Tamandua tetradactyla: one gene and its partners. The protein of the gene in region 3 purifies or fractionates together with the protein of the main gene of each other region. This does not show direct contact. Links are inferred from orthologs where the notes say so. Each region holds a gene or a part of one and is shown on either strand. Other genes may lie near its edges. The genes, in order: AKAP9, PER1, CSNK1D and FAM83D.

Region 1 (7,566 bases), on a different chromosome or scaffold from region 3:
TTTTTTACAAGCCATTCCATCAAATTCAGTTATCTGCACTCTCTAGTTACAGCAAATCTAAAACAACAAATTAGGGGAAAAGACAGATGAGGAGAAGCAACACAAGGTGAGCATGTCCATAGTAATGAGAAACGAAAGCAAAGGAGGGATGAGAACTACAAAAACAGAAAGATCTATAAATATCTAATAATATAGAAATCTAATTTTATATAATACAAGCAGCACAGGGATAAGAATTACAGTTACAAGACTACACTAAAGTGAGAACCATTAGGAAACTGACTTCTATTAAGAGAACTCTGGAATATTGTCATTAAATCACAACCATGCTAGGAAACCATTTATGACTCAGTCATTCTGTTCATTCATTCATTAAGCAAATATTTATCAAGTACCTACTATCTGATAGGCATTATCTAGGCTGCATTATTAGTATGATGTTAACAGTTATCTTTGTAAAATATTCTTAAAGATGAAGTAGCAGCATTTAACATATTTTAACAAATGTAAAAAGATCACCCAAAATCCTACTACCTCCTCTCTTCTATTCTTTATTCAGTTGTATGTCTCTCCCAATAAACTAAGAGCAGGGCCTACATAAACACCTCCAGGTTTCAGCTCTTGGTATACATAGAAGTTCAACACAGATTTGCTGAAAAACTATAACACAGAGTTATTTCAGTCCTAATTTACAAGTTTACATGTTTACACAACTGAAATAAGAATATATACACTATTTCTAATGGTGCTGTTTTCACTCTATTTCCCATATTCCTATCATTGTTCAAAATTTTAATGGCTGTATAATATGCCATCCCATTTAAATAATTTAGACAATGATTCTTCTAATGTCGTCTTTGAAGGTTGTTTCTAGTGTTTTTATATTACACAGCTAATTCTGCAGCAGATATATCTTGCTTTATATGCCGCACACTTTCATTTCTCAATGGAAATACTGGGCTCAACTCCAGAGGATAATCTACAATAAAAGTTAAAGTTAAAAGAAAAAGATTTTTTACCCTAATCGGTAGAATTTTAAAACACCAAAAAAACCACATTCACACAAAGAAATAGAATTCTATTTTGCCAAATCAAATGATGTGGCAAGCAATTTAAATAAATCCCCTAATTATTATGGGTTATTATGTCCAAAGTGAATTTATGCCGAAGTAAACTGTATTTTGTAGGACTGTTTCACATACAGTTAGAAAAGATACTTCTGGAGCAGACAGTAAAAATTCTGAGGTAATAGACAAGATATAAACTGTCTACTTAGAGACTTTTGGAAGAGGGTGCACACTTTACCTCCACTTCCTTGGCTGCATAGAGCTTGCTCAGACCCTCGGGGCTGCACAAAATGTAAGCAACTGACTTTGGGCTTCTTAAAATAGCCTCATTTTCCTTTCCCCCATTTATGGACTTTAAAGCAATAATTTACCTGGGTACATACAAGCACCTAAGCCTTGACTTCTGAAGTGGAATTTTATGGAATATGAAACTAGTGTACATATATATTCATTTAACAATCTTGGGCTAACCATCTACTGCTGCATCTCTGCAATACGGCCCTTTGTTGATTACCAAATTATTGACCCAGTTTCCTTTGTCTATTTATATGGGAGGAGAGCAGGGAGGAAGGAAAAACAGCTATAATTTAATTATGAATCAAGTATGATTGCTAACAATTACCTCTGATATGATAATTGGAATCTAACCTATAAAAGGTAACTTCATTGTAGAACGTCTTTAAGGCCAAGAGATAATCTCAAACGTTAACATTTTAAAAGAAACATGCTACTTAATTTATATGTTGTCTATGCCAATTTTTCGTCAAATTCTCAATTGAGAGATACCTGTGTATAACTGTGTATTGTGTACTTTACAGGCTTTTTCATACATATACACACATAAAATCAGGAGTCACCCGATACACACACACACATATATATTCATACACAATCAACCATTAGGTAGTATTTGAAGCAGGGATTCTATAGGTGTTGCTTAAAATACGGAACCTGTCGTTCCCAGAACTCCAATCACGGAATGCATTAACATTCCACACAATACAAAAGCGCATGCCATGACAAAGACCTCCAAACACAAACATACAAAGCACGCTTAAAAAACGCCTCTAAAGGAACTTCACAGCTGGCACGTGTGGCACACTCAAGTCACTGCTGTGGCAGCTGACAGAGGCCAATCACACACACCCAAGAGTGCCAGCGTGCCACCTAAGGAAGTCAAGCTGATGATCAGCGCACAAATCCCCCATCAAATAAAGAAAAGCTCCAAATCCCCACCCTGGAAAACAATGCCTGCGCCACCCAGAAAACTCCTTTAAAAAAAAGTGAAAGACTGGAGATCAAGGACTAATAAATATCAGCTTATAGCAGCACTACAGTAATAGAAGGGTTTCATTTGGGCAATAAAAAGAAAAGGGCCATACGATCCAGTCATCGCGGAAGTTTCATTTGCTAGAAGCTTTTCTCACTATTGGAAAGACGGTGGCGAGGGGGAAATAAAGACGTCTGTAAGAACCTCCCTTCAAGGTAGCGCACTAGAGCTACCACGATCTCCGTTTCCGTGGCCCCCTCCCACCCTCCCCAGCCGCCGCCTCCCACAGCCGGCCAGGCTGCCTCCGGCTTTCCTACCTTAGCTTTGCCGGCCTCCAGCTTCTTCTGTCTCTCTTCGTCCTCCATGGCCTCTGCAGGGCAGGGTGGGGGAAGACAGGGAGGGGATTGGAGGTAGAAAGAAAAGGTCGGTTCAGACGTAGTGGGACGGCAAGCTCCAGGGCCCAGAGAGCAGGGCCGAGCCCGGCTTCCAGCGCCCGCAGTCGAACCAGCTGCCTCGCTCACTGGCTGGTCGTCCTCGGCCGCACAGGGAACGCCGCCACCGCCGCCATCTTCGTCTCCACGTAAACACAAGGCCGAACGCGGGTTGGCTGGGGGGAGGGGCAGGGGAGCGGGATGCGGACGTCTGTTCGCGCAGCCGCCGCGAGTCCCGCTGGGCTCGGCAGGTGCGCCCGCAGCCCCTCCCCACCGCGCGCGGGACCTCGGGAGCGACCCTTGTCCACGCAGTTCTCAGCTTTCGAGTCTAAGAACCAAGGGAGTGGGTGCTCCTCTAGCCTTGGCCGGTTCTTGTCCTTCCTCCGGGATGCGCAGCTTCCAGGTGGGGGCGGACTAGGGGTCGGGTAGGAAGGGCGATAGGGCAGGGGGCATCCGGTCGGACCCCCACTCACTGTTCTAGGAATTCTGTGGTCGCTTTTAAAACATTTTTTTTAATTACAAAAATAAAGATGTCTAATGGTGAGATTAGAGAGCACTGAAAAGCCCAAAAGGAAAAAGTGGGGGGTCAGGGGGAGTCAGTTTCTCAACCTGCACTGACTCTATTCCAGGAGTTAGGAGAGCAGCTGCTTGTTCTCATTACTTCCTTATCCTGAAAGCCCCTCCTTCCCCATACTGTTACCCGCCCAAGCCCCTATTCGTCCTTCAAGGCCCACCTGAGGTGTCGCCTCCAAGTAGCTTTATTGATGTCTATTATTCCCTCCACCTCAATGGAGATGTTTCCAGTCATGGCTTATTCCTCTATGTCCCCTAACTCTATTCCCTCCCTCCTTGGAGCTTCCCCTTAGCGATGGTGTTCAGAAAAGGGCATAAGCTTCAGACCCAGGGGTGGAGACAAAGCCATTATGCACTTTCTAGTTTTAATGATCTTGCAACAAGGTACCAATCCTCCCAGAGCTCCAGTTTGTTCACCTAGAATTTTTGGAAATGTTGTTAGGATTAAACGAATTAATATATGTGACTGTCCCTGGCACATTAAAACTAACACAACTGGGAAATCATCGACCTACCCAGGCGATTAAATCCATCTCGACTCCTGTTGGAGACCAGGCGAAACCATAGCAGAGAAGACTCAAAAAATTATGAAAATCATTCCTGGGGCAGCCGTGTGTGTAGAAAGTGAAATCAGGGAAGATGTAACTATAGGACCTAGGACGGTGATCCACCCTAAAGCACGAATTTTTGCAGAGCCAGGCCAATAGTAATTGGTGAAGGGAACATAATAGAAGGACAGGCCCTTATTATAAATGCTCACCCTTATAATATCACCCCTCTTGCTGGAGATTTCAGAATCCAATCCTCTGGCCATTGGTACAATAATGTGTTTGAAGTTGGCTGTTATTCCCAAGTCATGAAAATGAGAGATAATAATGCTGAGTCAAAAGCATATGTAGGCAGAAGTGTAGTATAAATGAGTGCATCATTGGGGCTTGTTGCAAACAATACTCTTGAAGTCATCCTTGAGAATACAGTAATCTGTGGTGCAGACTGCTTTCCTGTGGTGTAGACTGAGCTACCGCAGCCCCAGACGCTACAGCTGGATTTCCTGATTAAAATCTTGTCAAGGTACCATCACATAAAGAAGACCATGAAAGGAAGTTCAACTAACAACAACATATGATATCAAAATAACATTTCATCTTTGACTACAGTCTTTTGCAAGGGCCACAGTATTTAAAATGCAGTCTTATCAACTCACAGAATAATATATATTGACTTTATTTTATAAAATTGAGTTAAGTAATGGGTTTTCATTGTCAATGACCTCTATAATTTATGTAAAATGTGTGATTCTCCTATATTGTTGCTACTTTTCTGATAATTTACAGTTTTTCTTTATTATATAAAATATTGGCTACAATTTTTAGTTATATAAAAGACCACCCATGATAAGAAAGAGCATATTGTTATATATTTGTTACATATACTAAACTAAATAAAAGTGCCAATGACAGGAAAAAAATAAAAATAAAATGAACACAAATAATGTCAATTTTCTTTCTCCTTGTATTTTCTTTATGTATTCTAATTATATTTTAATAATTTATGTACTTCTTAGTAAAGCTCATACTTTATCTTTGCATTACCAAAATGACAGTACTTTGCACCCATTAAATACTTGTTGAATTGAATTGCGCCATGTTTGTGAATTGAGCTTTACATTCTTTCCTTTCCCCTCCCTCATCTGTTCCCTCAGTACTTTCTTTTTTCTTCCCAGTCTCCTACCTTCAAATTCATTCCAGGGTGAACTATAAATTTTAAGGTCTCAGACTGATTACTTAGGTTAAGCATATTTCTTCTTTGTTATGAGCTATATTGGACTGAAAAACTAGCAGGTATGAACTAAAACAGGCCATGAATTCAATTGTAGAATTGGTTTTAAGTGAAAATTAAGGGTGAAAGAAAAGAAGAAGGGAGAGACTAAATAAAGACCTTAGGTCTGTCACATACTGAATACATAGATCTGATTTAGAAACGCTTAGATATTTTTAAAATATATTTGATCATTTTAGTTGCCATTCTCTAGATCTATGCCAAATCCTATATAACCCCAACCCATTCATTAAATATTTGAGCTGTGTATCACTGTAACACAATTATCTTGTTTCCTACATGTGAAGAGGATAGACTATGGAGGATCAGTTTGGTTGCTACTGCATTATCCCAGATAAGAGATGATAAGAGATTTAGACCCTAGTAGTGGTAGTGGAGGTGATCAGATGTGATCAGATTCTGGATATCTTTTGAATATAGAACTAATTGTGTCACGGGAGTTTTATATTGAATGTGATGTTTATGACAGGGAGGAGTCAAAGTTGACTCCAACATTTTTGGCCTCAGCAACTGAAGTGATGCCAGTAACAAATGGGGAAGAGCATATTTGGAGGAGAGCAAGAGTTTGGAGATTGTAAGTTGGAGATATATGTTAGGTATTTAAAAAGTGATGTATAAGTTGATACTTAGAAATCTGAGTCAGGAATATAGGAAAAAGGTCCAAGTTATAATTTGAGAAGAGTCAGAACATCGATATTATTTTAAGGTAAGAGATTGGATGAGATCATCTAGGGCCACACTAACCAATATAGCAGCCACTATCTACATGTTACTACTAAGCAAGAAGATATGACTAGACCGAATGGAGATATACTGTAAATTTAATACACACTGGATTTCAAAGACTTAGCATTTAAAAACAGAACTTAAAATATATCATTAATATTTTTATATTCATTACATGTTGCAATGATAATACTTTGGGTTAAGTAAATACATACTAATTTCACCAGTTTATTTTTATTTTTTTAATGTGGCTGCTAGAAAATTTTAAATTGCGTATGTGGCACAGTCATACTCTAGGAAGCAAGTTTAGATAAAGGAGTGATACAATGACTGAGTTTTGGAGCACTCCAACTCTGAGGGAGGGAAGGAAAGAGAAATCAGCAAAAAAGACGGAGGAATGACAGGAGACTTCCGGGTCAAGATGGCAGCTTAACAATGTGCACATTTTAGTTCGTCCTCCAGAACAACTACTAAATAACCAGAAACAGTACAGAACAGCTCCTGGGGCCACGTCAGTGACCAGACACACAGCATACCCCAGTCTGGACCAGCTGGACTGGCTGCGAGCACCCCCCAGAACCATGAGTTCCCAAAGCTGTGGTGGCCAGCACCCCTCCCCCACAGGCCACTTCCCAGAGGGAAAAGGAAAGGACTTTACCAGCAGCAGGGACTGGGCACAATCAAACGCCAATTGTGGAACTAATTAACAAATTCTGACTACTAAAAATAGGCCCCCAGCTTAGGTGAGCCTGATCAAAGCAGAGGTTGCTCATTTTTGCCCCGGTGCCAAGGGGGCAGGACTGACAGAAAAAGGGGGTGAAAAAAGAAGAAGGAAAAAGAGCTTTTTGTGGCTGTGTATCTACAAAGGCTTGACTGCCTCTGGATACAGCGGCAGGACTTTTCAGGCTGCAACTGGCCCAGGCATAGGCAGAAGTGAGCTCTTTTGGGGACTTGTCTGGAGTCTTTGCCTTCCCCAGGGGAGCGGTGAAGCCCCACTCAGTTGGAATCCCTCCATCAAGGAATTCAGACACCTGGGCTTGGTAATTTGAAGCCATTAAAACCAGCCTACAACCTCTCCTCTGTCTCCACCCTGCCCCCAGCAGGGAGAGTCTGCCAAAGTTAAAGGTACCACATCATCTTATGCTGGTGGGACCTGCAGTCAGACAAGCGCCACACACAGGGGGGATAAGAAAAACCGAGTCCAGAGACTTCACAGAAAAGTCTTTCAACCTGCTGGTTCTCACCCTCAGGGAAAACCGACACAAGTGATTCTTTCCTCCTGATAGTAGGCCAGTTTGGTCTGGGAAAATCCGGCTGGAGTATATAATATCTAAGTAGACCCTCCTAAGTGCGTGTGTGTGGGAAGGCACCTCACAAGCAGGGCGAGAAACAAGAAAACAAGAACTGAAAAATTCTCCTCTGTGAAACAAAACTTAAGCTAAAGGCCCAAATAAAGTTGAAGGGAATGTCAAAGAACAGATAGACAACAAATTCATCCAGCAAGAAAACCCTAGATAAAAGAAGTGAAAGCAATCTCCAGAATAAACTAATTAAGGTAATTAAATGTCTAGACGCCAGCAAAAAAAAACAAATCACACTAGGAAAATTGAAGATATGGCCCAATCAAAGGAACAAACCAACAATTCAAATGACATACAGG
Region 2 (6,892 bases), about 13 Mb from region 3:
GGCTGGCTGGCAGTCCTCTCCCCAGCTCCACCCTGGGCCCCATGGCCTACAAAGATGGGCTGGGCATTCTTTTGCCAGTAAGGAAACTGAGAACCAAGACACCCTTCCTTTGCCTCCTCCTAGCCCAGGCTCATAGCTAATTCTGCGGGGGCCCAAGTCCTCATCCTTAGCATACCTTCTTCTCTTCCAAAATTGTAATGGGCTGGGTTGTACCTCCAAGACTCCTTTCCTGCCTCACCCCCTGCCTAGGCCCAGGAAGTGCCTACACCCCAAGCCCAGCAGGTCAGACCCCTCATGTGCCTACCTTCATAACCCGAGTGGATGCGCTCTGCAATGAGCAGGCAGCACGGCTGTGCAGGGGCCCCATCTGAGACCCGGATCTTGGTTACATATGGGGTAAGGCGAAATGGCTGGTACCGAGGCCCAGGATCTCGGTCAGGACCTCCTCTGGCAAGGGAGGGAGGAGGGATCAGGAATCTTTAAGGGAGGGTTGCCCATCCCTTCATGCTCAGGGTTGTAGCCCACACAAAACAGTAAAGAAATTAAGAGATGAGAGGTACTGACTCCAGTCCCCCACAACCCCCCACCTACCTGATACGGCAGAAAACAGACTTCTCCTGGGTGAAGTCCTTGGGGCTTGAACCTGAGGCAGACCAGGAAGGTAGTAAGCTCAGCCCTGTGGCCTCTGCAGCAAGGGGAAGCCTTGTCTTTCCGATTCCTTCCAATAGAAGCTTCCTGGGCCTGCTCATACCTGACACCTACCCCTCAGCCCTCAGGCACCTCACCTGCTGAGGCCCCAGTGCCCCAGGTGGGCAGGCGAGATGGGGCAGTGGAACCATAGAAGACACCCACGTCCTGGGGAGCCAGGAGCTCTGAGAAACGGGCATCCCGGAACACATCCCGCTTGCAGCGCAGCAGAACACCTGCCTGCTCTGAGATGTAGACAATGCGGCCTGTCAAGAAGGAGACGGCCACCGAGAAGGTATCCTAGACAAGGAGGGCAGGGAGAGATCAAGAACAGACTCAGGAGCTGTGTGGGTGGTGGCAGGTGTGTCTGAATGGACAGGCTGAACCACTGCAGACCTGGTTGCGAAGCGTGTACTCAGATGTGATGTGTTCCAGCTCCTCCAGTGTGTAAGTGGACATGTCCATGGCACATGGCTCGCCCTCCTCCAGGCTCCACTGCTGGTAGTATTCCTGGTTGGCTGCAGGGTGAGGGCCATGGGGCCTGCATTGAGGAGACATCCCAGCCAGGCCAGCCTAGCATCTGACCACTATCCTCCCAGGAAGCACCACTCACCCTGCACCTGCTTGACACAAGCCAGCGCGTACTGGAGTGTGGCCAGGGTCCCAGAACGGCCCTTGCCCCGGCGCTCTGGTGGCAGTCGAAGCTTGAGCTCCCGCAGGGCCGTCATGAGCTCTTTCTGGGTCCTTGCCCGGGCTGACTGTTCACTGCTGTAAGGCCCACAGGGAGGAAGGAGATACATGCATGAGTTCTGTAGCCTGGCCTTACCCTCAGCCCTCTCCCCTGGCTCTCGTCCCACACACCTGCAGCCACTGGTTGATGGGTTGTCCTGCTCTGAGCTGGCACTCAGGAGGCTGTAGGCAATGGAGCTGCTGGGTGGGGACGGGCTCTGGGAGTTGGTGCTAGGGAGAAACAAGAAGCCCAAGATGAGGGGAGAGTGGCATAGGGTTCATTCCTGAGCTCTACCTGCTCATAAGACTACACCCAGCCCCTCGACCCCATATTCATACACACCTTTTGCTGCTCTCAGTGGTCTCTAGCAGGGCAGAGTCCTTGCCATTACCAGAAGAGGAGCTGTGTGAACTCCGCTGAGAGGCACCCCTGGACTCGGGCCCATTGGACTCATTGCCGCTTGAGCCATTGCTGTTGGCATCGGTGTCATCTCCCAGGCTGGGGCCAGGGCAAGGCCGGTGCTGTGGGGGCCCAGGGGATGGGGCCCTCCCACTACAAAAGGGTTCTCCAGGCCTGGGGTCCCCTCCCCCATCAGCCCCTTCCAGGGGGCCACTCATAGCTGGGCCATGGGGAGGGCAGGAGGAGAACAGGGAAGAAGGGGAGGCCACTACGGATGCACCAGGGGGCCTGGAGGCCTGGATGAGGGAGTGGGGTTGGAGACCTAAGTCTGAGGATTGAGAAGTTCGATCACAGCCAGTACCTGGAGAGGGAAACCAGGAAGGAGAGCTTGGAAAAACTGGGGTACTGACCTCAGAGCACTGGCTGGCTTCACTCAGACCCTCCCCTGCCTGTCCTCAAGCTCTTGGATCCCAGACCTGGGGCTTCCAGTTGGGAGCCTAGGGAAGATTCGTTTCCTGTGGCAGAAAGGAGCCACAGGTGGAAAGGGGCCTCCTTTGGGCCTTCTCTCACATCCCCTGCAAGCCTCGGCCTGAGCAAGTAGAGCCTGTGCAGTCGACCGCCGAAGACCCAAGCCTGGACACTTCCCATGCCCGAGTCCCCATCTAGCCCCCACCCTGCCCACGGGTCCAACTCCGCAGAGCCCGGGTGAGCCTTTGCCTCCTATATTTAGGCCTCCCGGCTAATTTTATCTGGGGGGGGCGGCGCTATCTCCACCGCACATGCGCGGACCCACCACACGCTTCCGCCGCCGCGGTCGCCAGGGAAACCGACGTCAGCAGCTGAGCTCAGCGGTTGCTGGGGGGACCACAGGGAGGCAGGAGGGGTGTCCCCTCCCCCATTTCCCGGCGGAAGCGGGGGAACGACCCACTCCCACACTGGCGGTCGCGGCCCGGGGTCGCCCCTCCCCCCAACACACCCCCAGTCCTCGCACGGCCCAGCAGTCTTAAGAAGAGGGGCGGCCGGCGCAGCGGATTTCAGAGACTGGCCCAGGGCTCCTCGCGGAGAAAACACAACAGCTGCTCCCACCGCCACCGCCTTCTGCGCCAAGCCCCCCAAGCTGGCTCTTGCCTGGGTCCCAGTCATTCTGGTCAAGACGACACAGGCTTTCTCTTTCCCCTCGGCCTCTGCCCACCCCGCCCGCCCCCCAAGACCGAAGCCGGTACCTGCCGTCAAGAGCCCAGAAATCCCCTCCTGAGTCCCCTACTTTTCTGGCCTCCATCTCCCCAACCGAAGCAGACACACTGAGCCCTGAGCAATGGACGCACAACAGCCAGCGGATAGTTTTCCCTCCGCTCCCCGTGCAACCACACCACACAAACACACACCCGCCTCCCCCCCCCCGCCCCCCCCCCCCCGTGCATTTTCTGAGCGCCAGGAGAAAAGGGAAGGCTGTGGCCAACAGCAGGAACTAACGCCGGGAACGGGATGTTCCAATCCGAAGCCGGCTGACATCACGGCCGGCGCGGGGCCAGGGACTGGAGGGGGGAGAGCGGGGAGCGTCGAGAGCCTTGATGGGGTCTGCTGCACCCTGGTGCCGGGGTACAACAGGGGACCCCGAATGACAAGAAAGGAGGAAGGGGACCTGCTCGCAGAGGGTCGGGTGTGAGGCCAGAATGGCTGGGAGCGGGGCGGCAAAGCGGGAAGGAAGGTAGACCGGTCGGACGTGCGGCCGCCCAGTAAAGGGTGGCGAGAGCCACCGCGGTCCCGGGGGACAGATGCGGTGGACAGCGGAAAAGAAAGGGTTACTTGCGTGCCGCGTGAGCGCCCGGAATGAAAGCGGCTCATGGGATTGGAACTGGCGGCGGACCGGCTCCGGGCCGGCGACCTGCCCAGGGAGGCTGCGGAGATGCCTACCTGGCCTCGCGAACGCCGTTCGGCCGCCTGCCCACCGCCGCTCCAGTCGGTGGCGAAGTGGAAGCTGCGCGGGGCCGAAAGGCGGGTTGCATAATGCCAGGCACGGCCCCTCATTGGCTCCCTGCCCGCAGCCACAGGCCCCGCCCCCGATTGGCTGGGGATCCCGTCCCGGCGCCTGATTGGCTCCCGGCCCCCACTGAGGTCAGGGCTGTGTCACACACACGGGCGCACGTGGATCTGGGTGCTGGCGCTGGGCTGAAGGGCCCCAGACACCGCCCAGCCAATGGGCTCAGGACGCCTCGCACAGGGAATAATGGGTGGGAGGCAGTGGAGGTAAGCTGTTCCTCTGTAGGGAAAATGCTTGCCCACAGTAGGCGCTCAAGAAACGTCTACTTCCTAAACTGACCAGCCTTGCAGGACAGGACACCTTGGTCTTGTCAGGGAAGGGGGAAAGAATGCAGACCCCAGAAGGTGGACTAAAACGCTGTTCCCTGAGAGGAGAATGAGAGGCCTTTGCTGCCCCCACCCCCTCCCCTTTCCTGCCTCCACCACCACTCGCGAGCTTCCTAGCCTGGTCTTCAAAATGTGAAGATGCCTTTTTACCCAACCCCTTCCTCTGACACTTAAAATCCTGAGGACAGCTGGGAGGAGGGCACTTGAGGGTCCAAATGCCATGCCTAGAGGGGAAGAAGAGGAAAACAATGGAAGGGCCAGAGCCAATAGTGGCTGTGAAGGAAATAATGGCAGGCTCCTGGGGCTAATCAGAGAACAGGTCTCCGGGACAACCTAGGTGGCCACTAGCACTTCTCTCCTGAGGATGCAACCACCCAGAGTTAGGGCTGCCCCAAAAGTGGGAGTCAGGGAGCCAGAACTACGGGGGGACAGAAGGGGCAGCTGAGAGAAGAGACAAGCTGGGTCCCCACAGAGGGAAAGCCCCTGCCAGGGGCTAAGGATTCTGTTAGGGAAAGAGAAAGTCAAGAGCCAGGGACCTAGCTAGCTAGGACCTCACCTGTCTCATTTCCCCGTTCCCCAGCATCCAGGACAGGACCTGTAGTATGGTGATTAGTAAATGTACTGATTTTGTTAATAAGGAGACAGAGCAGTGGGGGTAAGGAGCAGGAATGCAATGACTGAGCCTCAGCAATGGAGAAACTGGCAGTTATAATTTATTAAGGGGGTGGGGGTGGGATCTTAGAAAGAGAACAAGGCCTGATTTGGGAAACTGCCAGGCCCCTCCATCTAATTTCCAATGCTGTAATGAGTAGTATCTCTCAGGGCTGGCTTCCAAGAAACGTGGGTAGCAAGTGAAGAGGCCACCCAGGCTGCTTTGCTGACATAATCAGCTGTGGGTGCAGTCCCTTCATTGTCACATGGCCTAAGCTTTCCTGAACAATAGTGTTCCCCATGGTGGGGGCGGGGGGATGGTTCACTGGAAAAGCTGGGACACAGGGATGTTATAAAATAACCCAGAAAAACCAAAGGAGGAAAGCACAGAAAACAAAGGATTCAGGGGCCTGAATGCTCAGTTCCTTCTCCTTGAAAGTGTTCCCCCAAGTCACAGACTTCCGCTCCCTCTCAATCGTGGCTGTGTCCCTGGTCTCAGTTTCAAACACATCTTCTCGGTAAACAACCTTTTTCTTCTTCCTCAGGGATGTCGATGCGATCTCCTTTCCCCAACTTCCCCTTAGTCTCCCCTGATCCAGGCAGTTCTTTGCTCTCCGAAGTCCCCTCAATGCCTATCTTTTGCAAAGACAAAGGAGTGCAGCGTTCTAACAGCCCCCACCTGCTTTTCAGGCCCAGGTCGTTCAGCCTTGCGGTCCCCACAGTAACCAGGCCCTGCTGCCGTCAATGGAGGAGAGGGGGCGGGAGAGAGCGGTGACGTCAAAGCGGAGGAAGGGGGCGGGGCGAGGCAGCCGGGGAATGTGGGGCAGGGAGGCTGGAAAGGCAGCGGTTTGGGCGGCGGCCGGCGCACTTGGGAACATCATGTTCTCCTGGCTGGCGTCCCAGGACATGCACCCAGCCCGGGGCGCCTCCCCAGCCCAACGACAGCCGTCCTATCCCAAAGCCAGGAATTCCTGGAGAGAGAATTAGGAAGCAGGGGTGACCCCCCTCCCCAATGCCTGGTCCTCTTCTTGGGTCTCATGTGCACCCTCCCTTCGTCTTGTTCCTACAGCTCTTGGCACTGACTCTCCTCCCGCCGATCCAAGCTATACACATCTGCTGGCCCGGTACCAAAAAGCCAGGGCGGGGAAGTTGGAGGCCCAAGTTCTGGGAGAGAACAGGCACCTTTGCTCCCTCCCAGAGTTTTTCCTCCAGAGCCTGAAACTTTTGTTACTATGACAGCAGAGAAGAAGGGAGGAGGGGTAGAGAGAAGAATGGGCCTGAGATGAAGAAATCAGACAAGGACAGGACAATTGACCCCACTTGGGGTCTGGGTCTGGGAAAGGGATAGAAGGGAGGGAGGAGGGAACATGGGCTGCTCTCTGAGGACCAGAAGGATCAGAGAGAAGTAAGTGGGGAGGGAAGCACCAAAAACTTGGGAATGTAAATCCCTAGTTCTGGCCATGGCATTCACAGAAATCTCTCACCCTGTTGCTGTTGTTTTGTTAGAAGGAGATTAGGGGCCCTAGAACAACTCTGTGAGACAGGCATTGTTATCAGCACTCTGTGGGGAATGATTAAGGCTTAGACTAAGGCTTACTTGCCTAAATTGTATGTCTCATAATATGTTAATCCTCTTAACCCTCCAGGAAGCTGCTAGGTATCTAGCCTCTAAGTTGTCTCTCAGCACTGGGGAACCTGTGCCTCTCAAATATCCAGCAGATTCTAAATTTGGCACCTGAACAGACTTCATCCAGTGGCGCCTTCCCCATGGGTCCAATCTCAAGACATTCAATTTGTACTCCCCACACCCTTCTAATCATCAAATCCGCAGTTTTCACATGTTCACAAAGTCTTCGAAATCACTCTGGCAGCCACCAGCCCCAAATGATTTCCTAGGAACTCCACTTTCCCCTACTACCACCTGACCCCAGGTCACTTTTCCACAGACCTGGTTGTTTGTACAGAGAGATACCACAGCATTTATTGGTACCTCCCCACTTCAGGGGTTCAGGAAGGCATGTGAACAGCCATATCTGCACAAACTCCAACCCTATTCTC
Region 3 (6,850 bases):
TGCTTGCCCTGCGTCTCGTCTCCTGCGCTCATGTCTGACAGGGGCTCTGTCAGCCCTGGCTGAAGAGAAGTGACCCCGCCTGGACTGCCCACCACGTGTTCACACTCATCCACTGGAGGTTGGAAAGCATGGTTCATGTTAGCAATACCAGCCTTTTTCCCCCTAAACATCTTTCCCATAAGCAGCCGATGATGGCAAGGTGTGGACTCTGAGGGCAGGCCACACAGGTAGCTGGGTCTGGGAAGTCTTTCCCACCAGCTCTGCTAGCAGGCTGAGAGGGAGGGAAGTCCCAGGTCTAATAAGCAGACTGCCTGAAGCCTGGGAGTTGAAGAAATAGTCCCAGATACTGCCCCTTCTGATGGAGCGATTTTCTGTTATAAAGCTTTAGAAGGACTCAGATGACAACCAGCCAAGGCCCTCATGAGTAACTAAGCACAGCAGGCCACTGGGTCTTCACGGGCCCTGAAGCGTTCTGCAAACTGAAGCCCCCCCATCCCATTTCAAACATCAGAAAACATATAAAGTCCCAGGTAAAATCCAAAATCCCAGCAAGCCAATCTCATGAAAACGTGAGCCGTACTTAGAGGAGTCAAGTTTCTGACTAACTTCAAAGGAATGACAGTAGGAAGGATTTTAATCATTAATCACACCAGGATATGTAGGACCAGATTTTCAAGAACAGGACCCAGTTCACTGCCTACACTAATGGAAGGAGCTGTAGTTCGGCAACTGCATGTAGCCTGTGGACGCCCAAGCCCCGCACACGATGGATGTACTTGGGCCTGCCCTCCCAGCCACATAAGCACTCAAGCTTACAAGACCACCACATTTCCATGGTGGGGAAGTGTGTAGCCTGAGTACTAAGGGTGGACCCAAAGCCAATGCTGACTGGGGGGGAGTCATCATGACCAATCCCACACCAATGATTAGTGTGCCCCGACAATAGGCGGTGTGGGTGCCAAGAGAAGGACCTGAGTGCCAGTCCCCTTCTTGCGGAGCAGGTGGGTCAGCTGCGCACGCAGGACCTGCAATGGGGCCAGGGCGAGGCAAGGCCTCCAGGATGAACGGGACCCCCACTAAGCTCCCCACTTGAAGAGAAGAGCTTCCATCCTGGTGAACGACCTCTTGAAACCAGAATACCACCCGACTGTCAGGACCCAGCTTCCCAAAGCACAAAGCCATTTTCACCAGGTCTCACCTGGCAAAAAGTTTCAACATCTAATGGACTGGCTTTTCAGCAGAGCTCCTAGATCCCGAGGTTAAGACTTTTGCCAAAATTTACTGTTCTATAAATAAGCCAAACAGCTTGCATTTATCTAGCCCTTCGCCTCCCAACGCCTTGCTGAGAACGACCAGACTGACTTCTTGGATATAAATATTTAAATGGTAAAACCCAAATGTCTCTCAGGCCTATTATACTCAGCAGGCCAGAAAGACCAGAGTCAAAGTCATCACTATACCCCTGATGGGTTATCCTGCAGGTCACCCAGGCCCCAAAAGCTGTAAGGAAAGTTCCTTTTAACAGGCCCCCCCCAAGCCCCTTGTCCTCTATTCTCAAGTGAAAAGACGGAGGGAGGGGGAGGAGCCCACACTGAGATAATGTAAAAGGCGTCATGGAAGGTACAGCAGCTCCTGACTCTAACAGGAACACCAGCCAAACAGCAACACCACCACGGGGCTCTTCAACCTCTACACTTACGCAACTATCTCTCTGCAACTTGCTGCGGGCCAGGCTGGACCGTCTCAAGTTCAGCGGGTCTGGAATAACATACACATAACACAATTCTTCCCCAAAAGAGTAGGAAAGGACCGTAAGTTCAAACTTCTCAACTTCAAGATTCAAGCCGATCTTATATCACACCTATGTGTACATGTGAGCATATTTCTCTCGCTCTAAATGTGAAATGACCCAGAATATTCTAAGCCCAAACATCTTCCAAATCTACCCAAAGAGAAAAACTCGGGTAGGCCTTTCCCACAGCCTTATCGGCCTCTATTCTGCCAACATGGTGACCACCCAGCTTTGCCTGCTCTGGTCAAGCACAGAGCTTAGCAGCAGCAGCTGAGGACCTGCACAAACACAGGCCCTGCAGGCGCACACGTCCTACTCAACACCTGCCAGTCTTCTTCAGGGACAGAAAGGCCCTCCTCCTAGGTCTTCCGGCTGGACCAAGGTCACAGTCCAGAAGGAATCCACCCGGCCAGGTGCAGGCACCTGGGGAATGAGGAAGCTGAGCCCAGACCCAGCTCCCCTTGCCCACGGGGCACCCTCCACTTGCACACCGCAGTCCCGTGGTTTTGACAAGGGCCGAGCCTGGCGAGGGGGAGCCACGGGTACCAGGCCCGGACAGGACTGCAGAGCAAAGAGCCCCGGCCTGGGTTTCCTTGTGGGTGACATGACGACCGGACGCCCTCCTAAAAGGCCGCAACGGTCAGAGAAACCGAGCCTGGCCTCCCGGGCCGAGTTTTGGCAGTTTACGCACGGCAGCGGCACATCGTACAATGGGGGCTTCCAGGGGAGCCCATCTCGAGCTCACCGTCCCCCGGGCCCCCACTTCCGGCGGGGCCTGCTCGGACTCCGGGCAGCGGACGGGGCGCGGCCCAGGCTTGCGGGCCGGACCTCCCCTGCAGCCCCCAGCTTCCTCCCAGCTGCCCCCGGCGGGTCCTGTCCCGCAGCTCTGGTTGGGGCTGAGTTGCGGCTCTCGAAGCCGTGTGCAGCCAGCCTCGACACGGGGCGGAGGTCCCGGCGCCCAGACTCCCGCGCCCGCCGCCGTCCTCAGGGGCCGGGGTTGCGGAGTCGGCTAGGGAGGGGGTCGGTCCGGGGCTGGGGGAGGGGCGCGCGGCAGGGGTTGCCCGAGGGAGCGCCGCGGCCTCACCGAGATAGATGTCTCCGAAGGAGCCGCTGCCGATCTTCCGACCCAGCCGGTACCTGTTACCGACTCTGAGCTCCATGGCGGCGGCGGCCCGTCTAGCTCCTGCGCTCCCGGCCGCTTCCTGGGTCTGCGCTCCGGGGAGGCGGCGCCGCTACTGCCGCTACTGCGGGTCCGGCTGCCGGCTCCGCCCCCCTCACAGCCCCGCTTTCACCATCGCTTTCCGGCCGCCCCGCCGCTCCCAGCGCCTCAATACGGGGCGGATGGGACAGTCCGAGCGTCGCCGACCCTGGTCCGACCCCCGCCAGCCCCACTTGCCCTCTCCCCGTCGCGGATGGACTCGGATCTTCCGGGCCTAAATCCCACACCAGCTGCCTAAAGGAGCCGCCGCCATCGCGCTGTGACGTCACTTCCCCTAGCAACCCCCTGCTGGGCGGGGCCGCGCCGCTGGGGGCGGGGCGAGAGCTCCGGGGCGGGGCGGGGCGGGGCGGGGCGCGGCCTCCTCGCGACCCTTAAGGGCCTCACCCCGCCCGTCCCGCCCTCGCCCCCCGGCCGGCCCCAAGCGCTTGCGCGGGGAAAGCCTCCTCGGCCCCCGGTAGATGGGCGTGGGGCGCACACTTGGAAAGGCTCCCTCGGAGCCAGAGAGATGGGCCTTGAGGACCTGCGCCCCGAGGCCCCCCAGATCTGTGCAGGAGAACCACCCGCCACGGCCGGGCGCCTCAGGGGTCACCCAGAGAGAAGGCCGAGGGAGAGGGCCCAGGATTCTGGGGTGGACGTATGGCGGCGAGGCCAGCGCTGGGCTGGCGCTTTGTCACCGTGCAAGGGTGGCAGGTCCAAGCTAAGAGGGCTCTGAAATGGAAAGTGGGCCTGGAGCGATGTCGGCATGTTTCTAATCTGGGTGGGGTCTGAATGTTCGTGCAAAGCAGAATAAGGTTTGTTTGTACCCAAACCCACCGGGCTCTCTGCACAAGGTCACAGCCAGGCCCCTCAGCGCGGGGGGGGGGGGGGGGGGGGCGGCGTCTGCATTGCCAGCTTCTGCACCCCTCCTGGAAATCCTGTGGCATGAGGCAGGCGTCGTTCCCCAGGGTTAAGTGGCCCAGCCAAGCGCACAAGGGTCCAGCTGAGGCCGGGTGCTCGCAGCCAGCCTCATGGGGAATCCAGGGACAAGGCTGCCAAACCAGTAAAGAGAACTTTGCTGGGAGAATTCAGGCCTGGCTTGTCTGTTGGATGAACAGTGTGCAGCTCCTCCAGGGAAGGCCACCTGCTCAGCCGGCACCATAAGGTGGCCTGGGGTCCACTCTCTGCAAGTAGCCAGGCCTCCCAGGGCCTCCGGCCACATTCAGCTCCAGGGCTCTGCGGTGTTCCACTTTGTTCTCCTAACTGATCAGGAAACTCAACCTATGTGGGGGTTGCCTTGACAAGGGAGCGTGGGAGAGACCTGGGAGGGGCAGCTGCCCACCAGGGCCTGGTCCAGGGGCCTCGGCTCCGTGTCCCCACACGCAAGACCCACCGGGGCCCTGCTGTCCTGTGAGGAAACACCCTTCCAGCCCCAGGACTCGCAGGGCTTTGCTGGAGACAGCTGCTCCCCAGCATCTCACCCCGGCATGGGAGGTCTGCTTGGAGGCCTTGAGCAGGGGCTTCTCTCTGGAACCCAAGCTCACTCTATGCCCACACCCTCTCCTTGTTCTATTTGTTGACGCTGCTGGAAAACAGGAGCAGGCTCTGGAGCTCGGTTGGTCAGCCCACTCTGCTATTGCCCTGTGTGACCCAGCAAGCCAGCCCCGATCACCCACTGCAGAAGCACTGTGTTAGCAGTGCTGGGCCTGGCCCTGCCAACTTCTCAGGCACGGAGGCCCAAGGGACGCCCACACCGGGCAGCACAGTAGGCCTTGAGGAGGACGGACACCCAGCTCCAAACTACAAGGGCAGACCTTGCCCTGACAACCGGGGTGGCCTTCCAGTGTCTCAGCCCCAGCACGGCTTACCTGCCCCTCCTGCCCTGGGGGCCATTTCTGGCCTGTGACTTTCCTCCCAAAACTCCCTCCCAGGCCCCCCAGGGCCACCTCAGGCCAGGCCAGGCCCCTTGCACCCTGCCCAGGGTGTCCTCGTTAAATTTTTAATTGTGGTGACATATGTAACGTGAATATTGCCATTTAAGTATTCGATTTAGTGACATCAATTGCATTTACAGTGTTGTACAACAATAACCCCCATCCATTACCAGAACGTTTCCATTGCCCCAAGTGAAACTGCACCCGTTAAACATTAACCTCCAAGTCCCCTCCCTGCTCCTGGTAACCTCTAATCTGTTCCCCGTGGGTTTGCTCTTTCTAGATAGTTCACATAAGTGCAATTTACAGTACCTGTCCTTTCCTCTCTAGGTTGTTTCATGTTTGCAAGGCTCATCCTTGCTGTCGAGTGGGTCCCTTCTCCCGCTGAGTGGTATTGTGTGCACGGGCCGCATTTTCTATCCCTCCTTTACCTATGGGCACTCGAGCGGTTTCCACCATCGGCAGTTGTGAACAACCGTGAGTAAGACTGCAGCTGTGGAACGTGTATCTGTTTGGGTGTCTGGTCTCCAGTGTTCGGGGCCTTTGAGGCCCACCCCCTGCCCGGTCCTGGAGGGGCAGGGGCGCCCGACCGAGGGACGATGCAGCTAGTGGGCGCACGTCCCAGACGACAGCTCTGAACCCAGCTCCCGACACCCTCCCCGGCTCCCTCTTGGGACCCCCAACACGGTGGCCCTTGAGCCGCACTCCTGCCCTCGGCCCCCCCTCGCCTGCCCCCTCTCTTGGACTGTGGCACTCAGGTCCCTCCTGGGCCCGGTGGCCACACCACCTTCTCCCCAATCCGGGGGCAGCTGCCCCAGCAGACAATGGAGCTCTCCAGTCCTCCTTCCTGACACAGCCAGGTCCGGGAGCACCATGGGCGCTGGAGGGGTTGGGGGGCACAGCCCCTGAGTTGCTCCTGGCGTGCAGCCCAGGTAACAGGAGCTGGCGGCCTGGGTGGGAGGCCGGAGCGGGAGGGAAGGCCCGTGGGATGGGTGTCCCCGCAGCCTGGGGGCTGGCCTTGTCCCCATGGGTGATGAGGACGGGGTGTGTCTCTGCCTTTTGAGCGGAGCTGCCAGACCCCACCTCCATGGGTGCCCCGAGATGCGGCTGGGTCGAATTCTGGGGTCTCCTCAGTGCTCCAGCAGGAGGGTGGGCAGCTGTCCCCCCCAAGCCCCTTCTCTCCCCTCCCCAGCTCCCTCTTCCCTGCCCCCTGGAGACACCGGGGAGACCATTTGTTGTCAAAGCCCACCCTCGTTCTCCAGGCTTAGGGCTGGGCCCTCAGGGGGAGTGCGACGGGGAGGGCTGTGTGAGGCCGGACAAGCAGACCATGCTTCATATGGGCAGCTGCCAACTGGAGCCGGCTGTGGGGTGGGGCGTGCACGGGGCAGTGACCCTCCCCGAGATCTGTGCAAGGGGATGGGGAGCCAGTCTGGAGGCCTGGGGTGGGACCTGAAAGATCTCCAGGCTGAAAGGCAGTGTGTGTGTGTGCACATCCGTGTGCATGCATATGTGCATGTGTATGTGCATACACACAAGTGTGTGCATGTGCGTTTGTGCATGCGGCAGGGCCTTGCTAGCACCCAGCTGCTGACCAGGGAGAACTGAGAGAAGGCTGGGTTGCAGGCTGGGGTTGCGATGGCTGGGGTTGCTGGGGGGCTGGGTTGCAGGGGGCGGGGGTTGCGGGGACTGGGATTGCAGGGGGTGGGGCATTATGGGAGGCCGGGGTTCAGCAGAGGCCACATGGGAGCCACAGCCTGCAGGCCCTGGCCGTGCACCCCCTACACTCCCTCTGAGTAGCTGGGCAGAGGTGTGTGCCCTGAACCCACACTAGGAGGGCAGTGGAAGTGAGTCTGCACCCCCATCCTCCACCCTCTAGAGCCCTGCAGCCCAGCACGGTGGCCGCCAGCCACATGTGGCTATTGAGGATTT
Region 4 (7,397 bases), on a different chromosome or scaffold from region 3:
CTCATCGTGCTCCTTTCCTCCCTCTGAACCTGCAGTAGCTCAATCACGGAGAGAATCGGGTCCAAACTTCCATGCAAGGCCCTGACAACCGAGCTCCCGTCTTCCCCTCAGCCTCCTGCTACCACTTTCTGCTCCCGCTGTGGGGAACGTGGCTGGCCCCAAACGTGCCAGGCCCTCCATGCTGTGCACTGGTCTCCGTTCTGGACCCAGCTCCAAGGTGACCACCGCTGCTGAGGCTTTCTTCCTTCAGCCCCCTCCCTCTAGAGATCCTGCAGCCACCTCCCTCATGGCTTCCCACAGGCAGGCAGGTTCTCAAGTGCAGGCAAGGACCCTGCCCCAGGCCCTGGCACGGTGCCTGATGTGGAGGAGGCGGTGAATGAGCAAGTAATTTTGGCAGATGGCACATGCACTGAAAATACTCATTGGATTTCAAGGTAATTGTGGTAGACTGAATGATGAACCCCAACAAACACATGTTCTTAACCTCAATCCTTATCCCTTTGGGTGTGAACCCATTTAAGCAGGACCTTTAGAAGATGTTTTAGTTAAGGTGTGGCCAACTGAACAAGGGTGGGTCTTAATCCAGATCACTGGACGCTTTACAACAGAACCCAGAAGTCACAGAAGCTAGAAAGGAGAGGATGTTGCCATGTGACAGGAGGCAAAGACGAAAGCCAGAGAAACCCAAAGATTGCTGGCAGCCAGCACCAGAATGCCAGAGATTTGGGGCAGAAAGCAAGTATTACTAATATCTTGACTTGGGATTTGTAGCCTCAAAACCATGAGCCAATAAATTCCTGTTGTTTAAGCCAAAACTACCTCGTGGTATTTGTGACATAGCTCTGGCAAACTAAGACAGTAACTTACCACCTTTCTCAGCTAAAATTACCCAGGTTCCAAATGCAGACTGTCGGAGAGTTGAGTACACAACTGGACTAGGGCCACCGGACAGAGGGGCAAGTCATGGGGCAGGTTTTTACCCAGGAATGGAAAGGTCGCAGTGTGTATTACAGAATGCCCACAGCATGAGGGAGGATCTGAGCTCCAGCCTCAATCCCCTTCTAAGGCCAGCACACGAAGTTCCAGAATGGTTCTCCCAGGAGCCTCTAGCTCCAGGGCCCCTTCACTACCAACAAAACAGGGGGCTGGGCCAGAGGTTAGAGTAACCCACCTCTCTCTCTGCCCTGAAGACCCATTCAACACTCTTCTCAAATTTCAAGTGCTCAAGTTCCCCAATTAAAGGTAAGCTTTGGGAATGCACATGTACGCCACAATTCTGCCTTTTTCCATCTTTTTAATGAGCCAGTAAGTAAGGTGTCTATTGCATCAAAAGGGCCTTCAGCACACTCAACAAACCACAAGGCTGGCACTAGCTCACTCCATCCACTACAACTTCTGACTCCACCAACAGGTAACGAACCCTGGTGCAAGTCGGGGCTGGTTCCATAAGACAAGCTGCACAGATGGTTTAACCTGGTGAGCACACTCAGATCCCAGCCCTACCAAGGCTTGCCACGGCCTTGGCACAGGCAGACATCTAGCCAGGGAGCTGCGCAGACCAGTCAGCAAGCAATGTAGCAGCTGACCATGGCCTTGGACTGAGGAGGGGGCCTGCTGTCACCCCCACCTACCCCACTCATCTCATGCACTCCGGTCTTCCTCCCAGATTCCCAGGTGCCCAGCACCCTGCTGCAGCCTCATCCTAGCTGGCAGATAAGTATGATACCTCCCCCCTCAACACACCCCAATACCATACCAAGCTGAGTGATACAACAGGACCAGTCCCCACTGAATAGTGAGGCCCACCCAAAGCAGGGTGTCTACACTCTTCAGACTGGGGCAGCCACACCCCATCCATCCCCCCGAGGTCTGTAGCAGGTGGGAAAAGAACAGGGCTCTCCGCCTTGCCACTTTCCTATTTGTTTGCTTTCTACGATATAAGGCAAGCAGATTCGACTAGCAATTGATTCCTAATGCCTCACCATTGTTTCTGGGGACAGTTACCCTTCCAGAACCTTTCCCTAGGTAATGAACTCCTGTAGGTGGGATCAACCCTGAAAGTTGGCTGACAACCAGAAAAATCGGCGGGCTGACTGGAACTGAAATCTGGAGCTGTGAGCATTTCTGGCCCCTCCTCCAGGCCAGATGGTGCTGGCAGTTGGTGCCTGAGGAGAGGAACACCGGTTGGGGAAGGCGAGGGCGGTGCCGCCGCCAGGCCCAATTCGCATCCCTGGGGAACGAGGCGCCTCCCTTTCCCCGCTGCCACACGGAGCGGCCCGGGAATCTGGGATCCGGGGGGATCACACGCAAGTGGGGAAATCGAGGACTACGGGATCACCCGACCCACGATTAGGGTAGGGTGCAGAGGACGTCGTGGGGCTCGGCCAGCACTCCCAACACATCTCCCTTTCCCATTACTGGGGAAGGTCTCCAGTCCGTCCCGGGGCCCAGAAGGACCCGAGGGGCCTGGCCGGACCAGGCCGCTCACCTCTCGCGCCGAGCGGAGCTGCTGTCGTAGGGCGTCCTTGCAGCCATAGGGGCCGCCGGCGCCGATGCCGCGGGGCTGAAAGTGCGCCTCGACCCGAGTGGCGCCGCGGTAGGCGCCCTGGTAGAAACTGGGCCAGCCGAGCTCCAGCAGCGGCGGCTCCAGGTCCGACTGCTCCGGGAAGTACGTGCCGGACGAACAGTCGTGCGACGAGCCGAAGGAGTCCTCGCCCCCCGCCGCCGCGCCCTGCTCTCCTGGCCGCTCGACCGAGCGCAGGATGGCGTGCACCTCGTCCGGGTTCAGAAAGCGGCCCAGGCACTCGCGACGCAGGAAAGCCGCGAAGGCGTCGGGGCCGCCGGCCACCAGCTCCTCCAGCGCCAGGCGCTGCGCCTCGCTGTACAGCTCGGCCGGGTTGGGCGGCCCGCACGGCGACAGGCAGGCGGCGGGCACCTCGTCCAGGATGTCCAGCAGCATCGCCATAGCGGCGCTCCGAGGGGACCACGCTCCACAAGTTGGAGCAGCGCACGTCCGCTTTTATACGCAGCTTTGAATCAAACTGGCCCGCGCCATTGGCGGCGTGGCCCCGCCCTGGCTTTCCCATTGGCTGCGCGGAGTTGGGGCTGGGCATGCGCCGCCACGGCCCCGCCCCTCGAGGTGCGCCCGGTCGGACCCCGCACCTCTGCATTGGCTACGAGTAGCTGCCACCCCTGCGCTTGTGGCCCGGTTGCTACGCGGGATTTAAATTCGGAAATTGTACATCACCGCGGACCCAGCGGCTCCTACTGGCTTCGCGGGTAGCAGCGCGCATCGCGGGGAGCCAGAGAGAAGGAAGGGTGGAGCCGAGGGGGCCTGGGCGGCAACGAGGGGCGCGAAGACTTCCCTGAGGCCCAAGGACTCGGTCCCCGGCCGCCCCAGCGCGCCCCCTGCCGGCCGCCCCGCAGCCCGGGTCTCCCCGCCCGCGCAGTCAGCTGTCGGCGGGGTGTCTGGGCACGCCGAGGCGCTGCTGCTCCTAGGCCCTCAGAGCTTGCGTGTGACCCACCATGTTGCTCTTGTCCCTTCAGTTGATCATTTATTTATTCGTTCAGAAAAAAGATTGGTCTGGCATAGTACCCATTCCTTTGATTACACCCTCACGTACCTTGTTGGCAAAACCCCAAGCCTGGTCGAGCCCCGCGCTGTGCTTACTTGCCACCTGCACCCGGGCAGCCAGACATTGCCGCACGAAACACAACTGCATTGGAAATTCACGATCCCAAGTGGGCCCTGGAGGCTGCCTGCTAGCCTCCGTTTTCCTCTTCGTTAACTTGGTTCCTCTCCTCCTTCGCACAGGAGCTCCTGCTCCCTGTTTTCCCCAGAAAGTACAAACAGAAGAGAACGGCCACACGCCCCGCCACATATACCTCCCTGTCTGCACCTCCGCCCCCATACTCCTCCCTTGTCACCACCGATGAACTGCTCTCGAGCCCAGGGTCAATCCTTATCCTAGGCACTAGCTTCCAGCCTCTCTGCTACTAACCCATCAGTCTTGCGATTCTCTCCTCTCTCGTGGATCACCAGTGTCCCTCCTTTACTGGCTCATTTCTATCAGCATGCAAACATGCTGAACTATTTTTCATCTTTAAACAACCCTCCTTGTTGTTGAGGGTTAAACAACCTACCTTCCTCTAGAGGTATCTCCCCATTTCCCTGCTCACTTTCACAGCATAAAACTTTAAGAGTTGTCTACATTTGCTGTCTTCAATTTCCCCCCAGTTCTTTCTTAAACTCTCTACAGTCAGCCTATACTCTCAATCACCCTAAACCAAAATTTCTTGTGAAGCTCACCAGTGAGCTCCACGTTGCTAAATCCAATAGTCAATTTGCAGGCCTCATCTTCCTTACGTAAATGAGAGAACATAGGGGAAACTGTAAAGTGCTTTCTATGTGAGAGGTTACCATTTATTACTTAGCAGCCAATAAACTTTTTAAATGAATGAATGTCAGCTGCTGCTAAGACACATCTCCTTCTCTCTCCATCCCCAGCCTGTGTATAAGTTTTTAAAACCCCAGAGTGGGCCCTTCTGTGTGGGCTGCTCAGGCTTCCAGCATCCAGAAGGCTACAAGAGGGCACCATTTCCCTCCTCCCCCAAGACACCAGTAACCTTCTGCTCTTGACAGGGGCTGTGGGCTGGGGCTCTGCAACCACATAGCTAGTCTACGCTTCTATTGCCTCAGGCATAAAATAAGAATAACCTGGATCTTGCCTGCTCTACTGTAGCAAGATGAGGTACTATGCAGTAGTTTACTTCTCTGCTATAAGCCGTATGGGAAGGGCAGGGGGGACAGGACAAGTCAGTGCACTCCAAGAAGGAAACAGAGAAGAGGGTCACCCCAGCTCCATCTAAATATGTCATGAGGCAAACATTTGAGAAGTTGGGGTGTCTATAGGAGTTGTTACCTGGCCCCACATTAACTCCAAGGGGAATATTTGACAAAGTGAAGGTCATTCCCAACCATAGACCTTTTCTTGAATTCATCAGGTTCCACCGTCTCCCAGCCTAGCAAGACATCCGCTCCAGGTCTGAGTCCCCGGAGTCCCCTTTCATCTTCTGGAGGAGCCCTTTGTGTTGGGGGACAGGAACTGGGAGCCCTCACCCACCCTCTGTCTCAGGTACCTCCCCTTTGAGTTCAGGTCAACGCAGTCCAAGTGAGCTCACAATGACCACAGTCACATTCGCAGGTGTTATTAAAAGGAATTTAATAATCTTAATTAAAAACTCTTAACAGCGAATTCGTCACAGGCCTTGGCAGCTGGAGGCTGCCCCGGGGACAAGCCCCTCTGGGATGTGGCTGAACCACGGTCTCGGACACGAGGCTCGCCACTGCCGCGCGGCGAGGAGCTACCCCGAAGTTACTTCAATACAATATCAAAGATCCGCGAGGAGTTTTTTAAAAAAGTTTTTAAATATATTAGACTCTCTTGATTGCCATTTTTTACACAAAGCTGCTGATACAGTATACAGAGTTTTATCTTTTTTTTTTTTTCACATAAAATACATTTTTGTTAAGTGTTCTCTGTACATCAGTGGCTTCTGGTCTGGTGAGTTATTGCGGAGGGCTGGGGGTCTGCAGACTTTTCCTGGGTGTGCAGAGCCAGGCCCCCCCGCTATGGCACTTGCAGTGCCCGTGGGAAGCAGGCCCTCTGGCCAGCAAGAGACTCCTGTTGAGGAGGGGGCCACAGCTTCTGGCAAGGAGGGGGGTCACTTCTGTGGAGTCATCCACTGACCACGGGCCCCTTTTTTCTTCTGAGCCCTGGGAGGGGAGAGGCTGCCCTCATGCTAGGAATAGCAGGAGTTAATGCAAGTCCTTCTGGGCATCTTGTAAGGAGCACCCTTTTGGAAAGTACCCAGGGATCCTGCTCTGGGAAAGCAGGTGGGAGAGAGTGCTCAAGATCAAAAGGTAGCCGACACCAGTAACCAAGATGATCTCATGTTATTACAAAGCTAGAAAATGAGGGTGGGGAAGAGGGCACACCCTTGTTTACTTTTCTAAGCCCCTTGAAGTTGATTAAATGGTGCAGAACAGTTCTATGAGTGCTGCACATGTGATGGACAACCCTGAAGTCCTCAGCAGAGCTGGGCCTAGGGTTCAGTTCAGCTTCCTTGAGCTAGTGGCCAGAAACTTACAATCTGCTGTCAGTCACCAATTTTCAATTGTTTGGGGCATAGGGTAGGAGCAGGAGCCAGAGCACACCAGTCGCTCCAGGTGCGCAATGTGGCACCTGGTTCAGAAGCGGCCTCCTTTAATCTGCCAGGATTTGCCACCAGACCTGGGTCAGCAGGAGCTGGGCATCTGGTCAACCCTGCCAGCCTTCTCCCAGTTCCCTGAGCCACACCTGGCAGGGAGAGAGGCTGATCCAAGAGGAAAAGCTCCAATGCTTAAAAGTGAAGCCCGTTTAACTTCCCAGTTTCTGAGGGACTGAGGAGTGACTAAATAAAACTAGCAAGAGACAAAGGCTTTAAGAACCTGAGATGCATTTGGCAGCAAAGTCCAGCTTCCTGATTCATCCAAATGCCGACCTCACACCCTATCAGGCCATTTCCCCAAAGATGCTGGCCATCCCAAGGTGGACATGGGATGGTGTCTTACCTGGAACCCAAGACCTGGCATCTGCGCTTGGTGGCACATGTCATCCATGAGAGGCCATGGTAGCTGTTTCCCAGCTAAAGGGATTCAAATCTGGGGATTCTAGGAGCTGACAAGTTGAGGGATGTTGGACCAGGATGTGATCATCTGCTAAGATGAATTGAATGGGCTGGTCCTAAGGGACAAACACTGTAAAGAACAGTTCTCCTCACTGTCTTGTTCATCCTTTGTCCCCAGAACCTACTGCAATGCCTGGCACCTCACAGCTACTCAATACATTGCATGAATGAATAAATGAGTGATCACAGCCCCAAGGTTGTGCCCCAGCTTGCCCCCCCCCCCCGCCCCCACCCAATACCTAGGAGACCTACAGGGAGAGCTCCCAGGTACCTGAAGCCCTAAAAGAGAATGCTTTATTCCTGACTCAAAGCACAGCCTGGTGATGTATCTGAAGTTGGCTCAAGCCAGTATTTCCAACCAGCCGGTATTTCCAATCTTCCAGGTGGAAGAAGAACAGCCCAGAAGGCAGGAAGCCAGAGGGGAGGAGGAGTGCCAGAGGGCTCATGGTGAGTTACAAATGCCTTTGGTCGCTGGCATCTGACCGAACAGATCTGAAAACCTGCCCAGCTCTCACCTGAAAACATGTGGCTTCCCTAAGCACACCCACCGTGCAGCCCAGTTGGCTCAAGGGGAATTTCAGTGTCAGCTGGGCTGAATACTGCTTTAAAGCCAAAGGTGTGTGTGTCTTGGATCACCTGACACACAGGATCAGCCATAGGCTGGGGTG

The links.
Region 1: the proteins of CSNK1D (region 3) and AKAP9 purify together in Homo sapiens (affinity purification with mass spectrometry; 4 studies listed by BioGRID and IntAct, counting the BioPlex papers as one, with this or other methods). This does not show direct contact. The link is inferred for Tamandua tetradactyla from reciprocal best matches to the Homo sapiens genes CSNK1D and AKAP9.
Region 2: the proteins of CSNK1D (region 3) and PER1 purify together in Homo sapiens (affinity purification with mass spectrometry; 4 studies listed by BioGRID and IntAct, counting the BioPlex papers as one, with this or other methods). This does not show direct contact. The link is inferred for Tamandua tetradactyla from reciprocal best matches to the Homo sapiens genes CSNK1D and PER1.
Region 4: the proteins of CSNK1D (region 3) and FAM83D purify together in Homo sapiens (affinity purification with mass spectrometry; 4 studies listed by BioGRID and IntAct, counting the BioPlex papers as one, with this or other methods). This does not show direct contact. The link is inferred for Tamandua tetradactyla from reciprocal best matches to the Homo sapiens genes CSNK1D and FAM83D.

The regions. Positions count from the first base shown.
Region 1 is NC_135327.1:124,513,739-124,521,304, forward strand, and holds the start of AKAP9 (A-kinase anchor protein 9), read right to left. Parts: upstream 3,019-7,566; 5' UTR 2,703-3,018; coding exon 2,655-2,702; intron 1-2,654. UniProt on the Homo sapiens protein: Scaffolding protein that assembles several protein kinases and phosphatases on the centrosome and Golgi apparatus. Required to maintain the integrity of the Golgi apparatus. Required for microtubule nucleation at the cis-side of the Golgi apparatus.
Region 2 is NC_135332.1:61,966,587-61,973,478, forward strand, and holds the start of PER1 (period circadian protein homolog 1), read right to left. Parts: upstream 3,008-6,892; 5' UTR 2,465-3,007; coding exon 2,293-2,464; intron 2,178-2,292; coding exon 1,760-2,177; intron 1,648-1,759; coding exon 1,549-1,647; intron 1,456-1,548; coding exon 1,301-1,455; intron 1,206-1,300; coding exon 1,084-1,205; intron 988-1,083; coding exon 786-987; intron 644-785; coding exon 592-643; intron 448-591; coding exon 305-447; intron 1-304. UniProt on the Homo sapiens protein: Transcriptional repressor which forms a core component of the circadian clock.
Region 3 is NC_135332.1:74,589,890-74,596,739, forward strand, and holds the start of CSNK1D (casein kinase I), read right to left. Parts: upstream 3,012-6,850; 5' UTR 2,953-3,011; coding exon 2,877-2,952; intron 1-2,876. UniProt on the Homo sapiens protein: Essential serine/threonine-protein kinase that regulates diverse cellular growth and survival processes including Wnt signaling, DNA repair and circadian rhythms. It can phosphorylate a large number of proteins.
Region 4 is NC_135327.1:13,074,428-13,081,824, forward strand, and holds the start of FAM83D (protein FAM83D), read right to left. Parts: upstream 3,019-7,397; 5' UTR 2,966-3,018; coding exon 2,489-2,965; intron 1-2,488.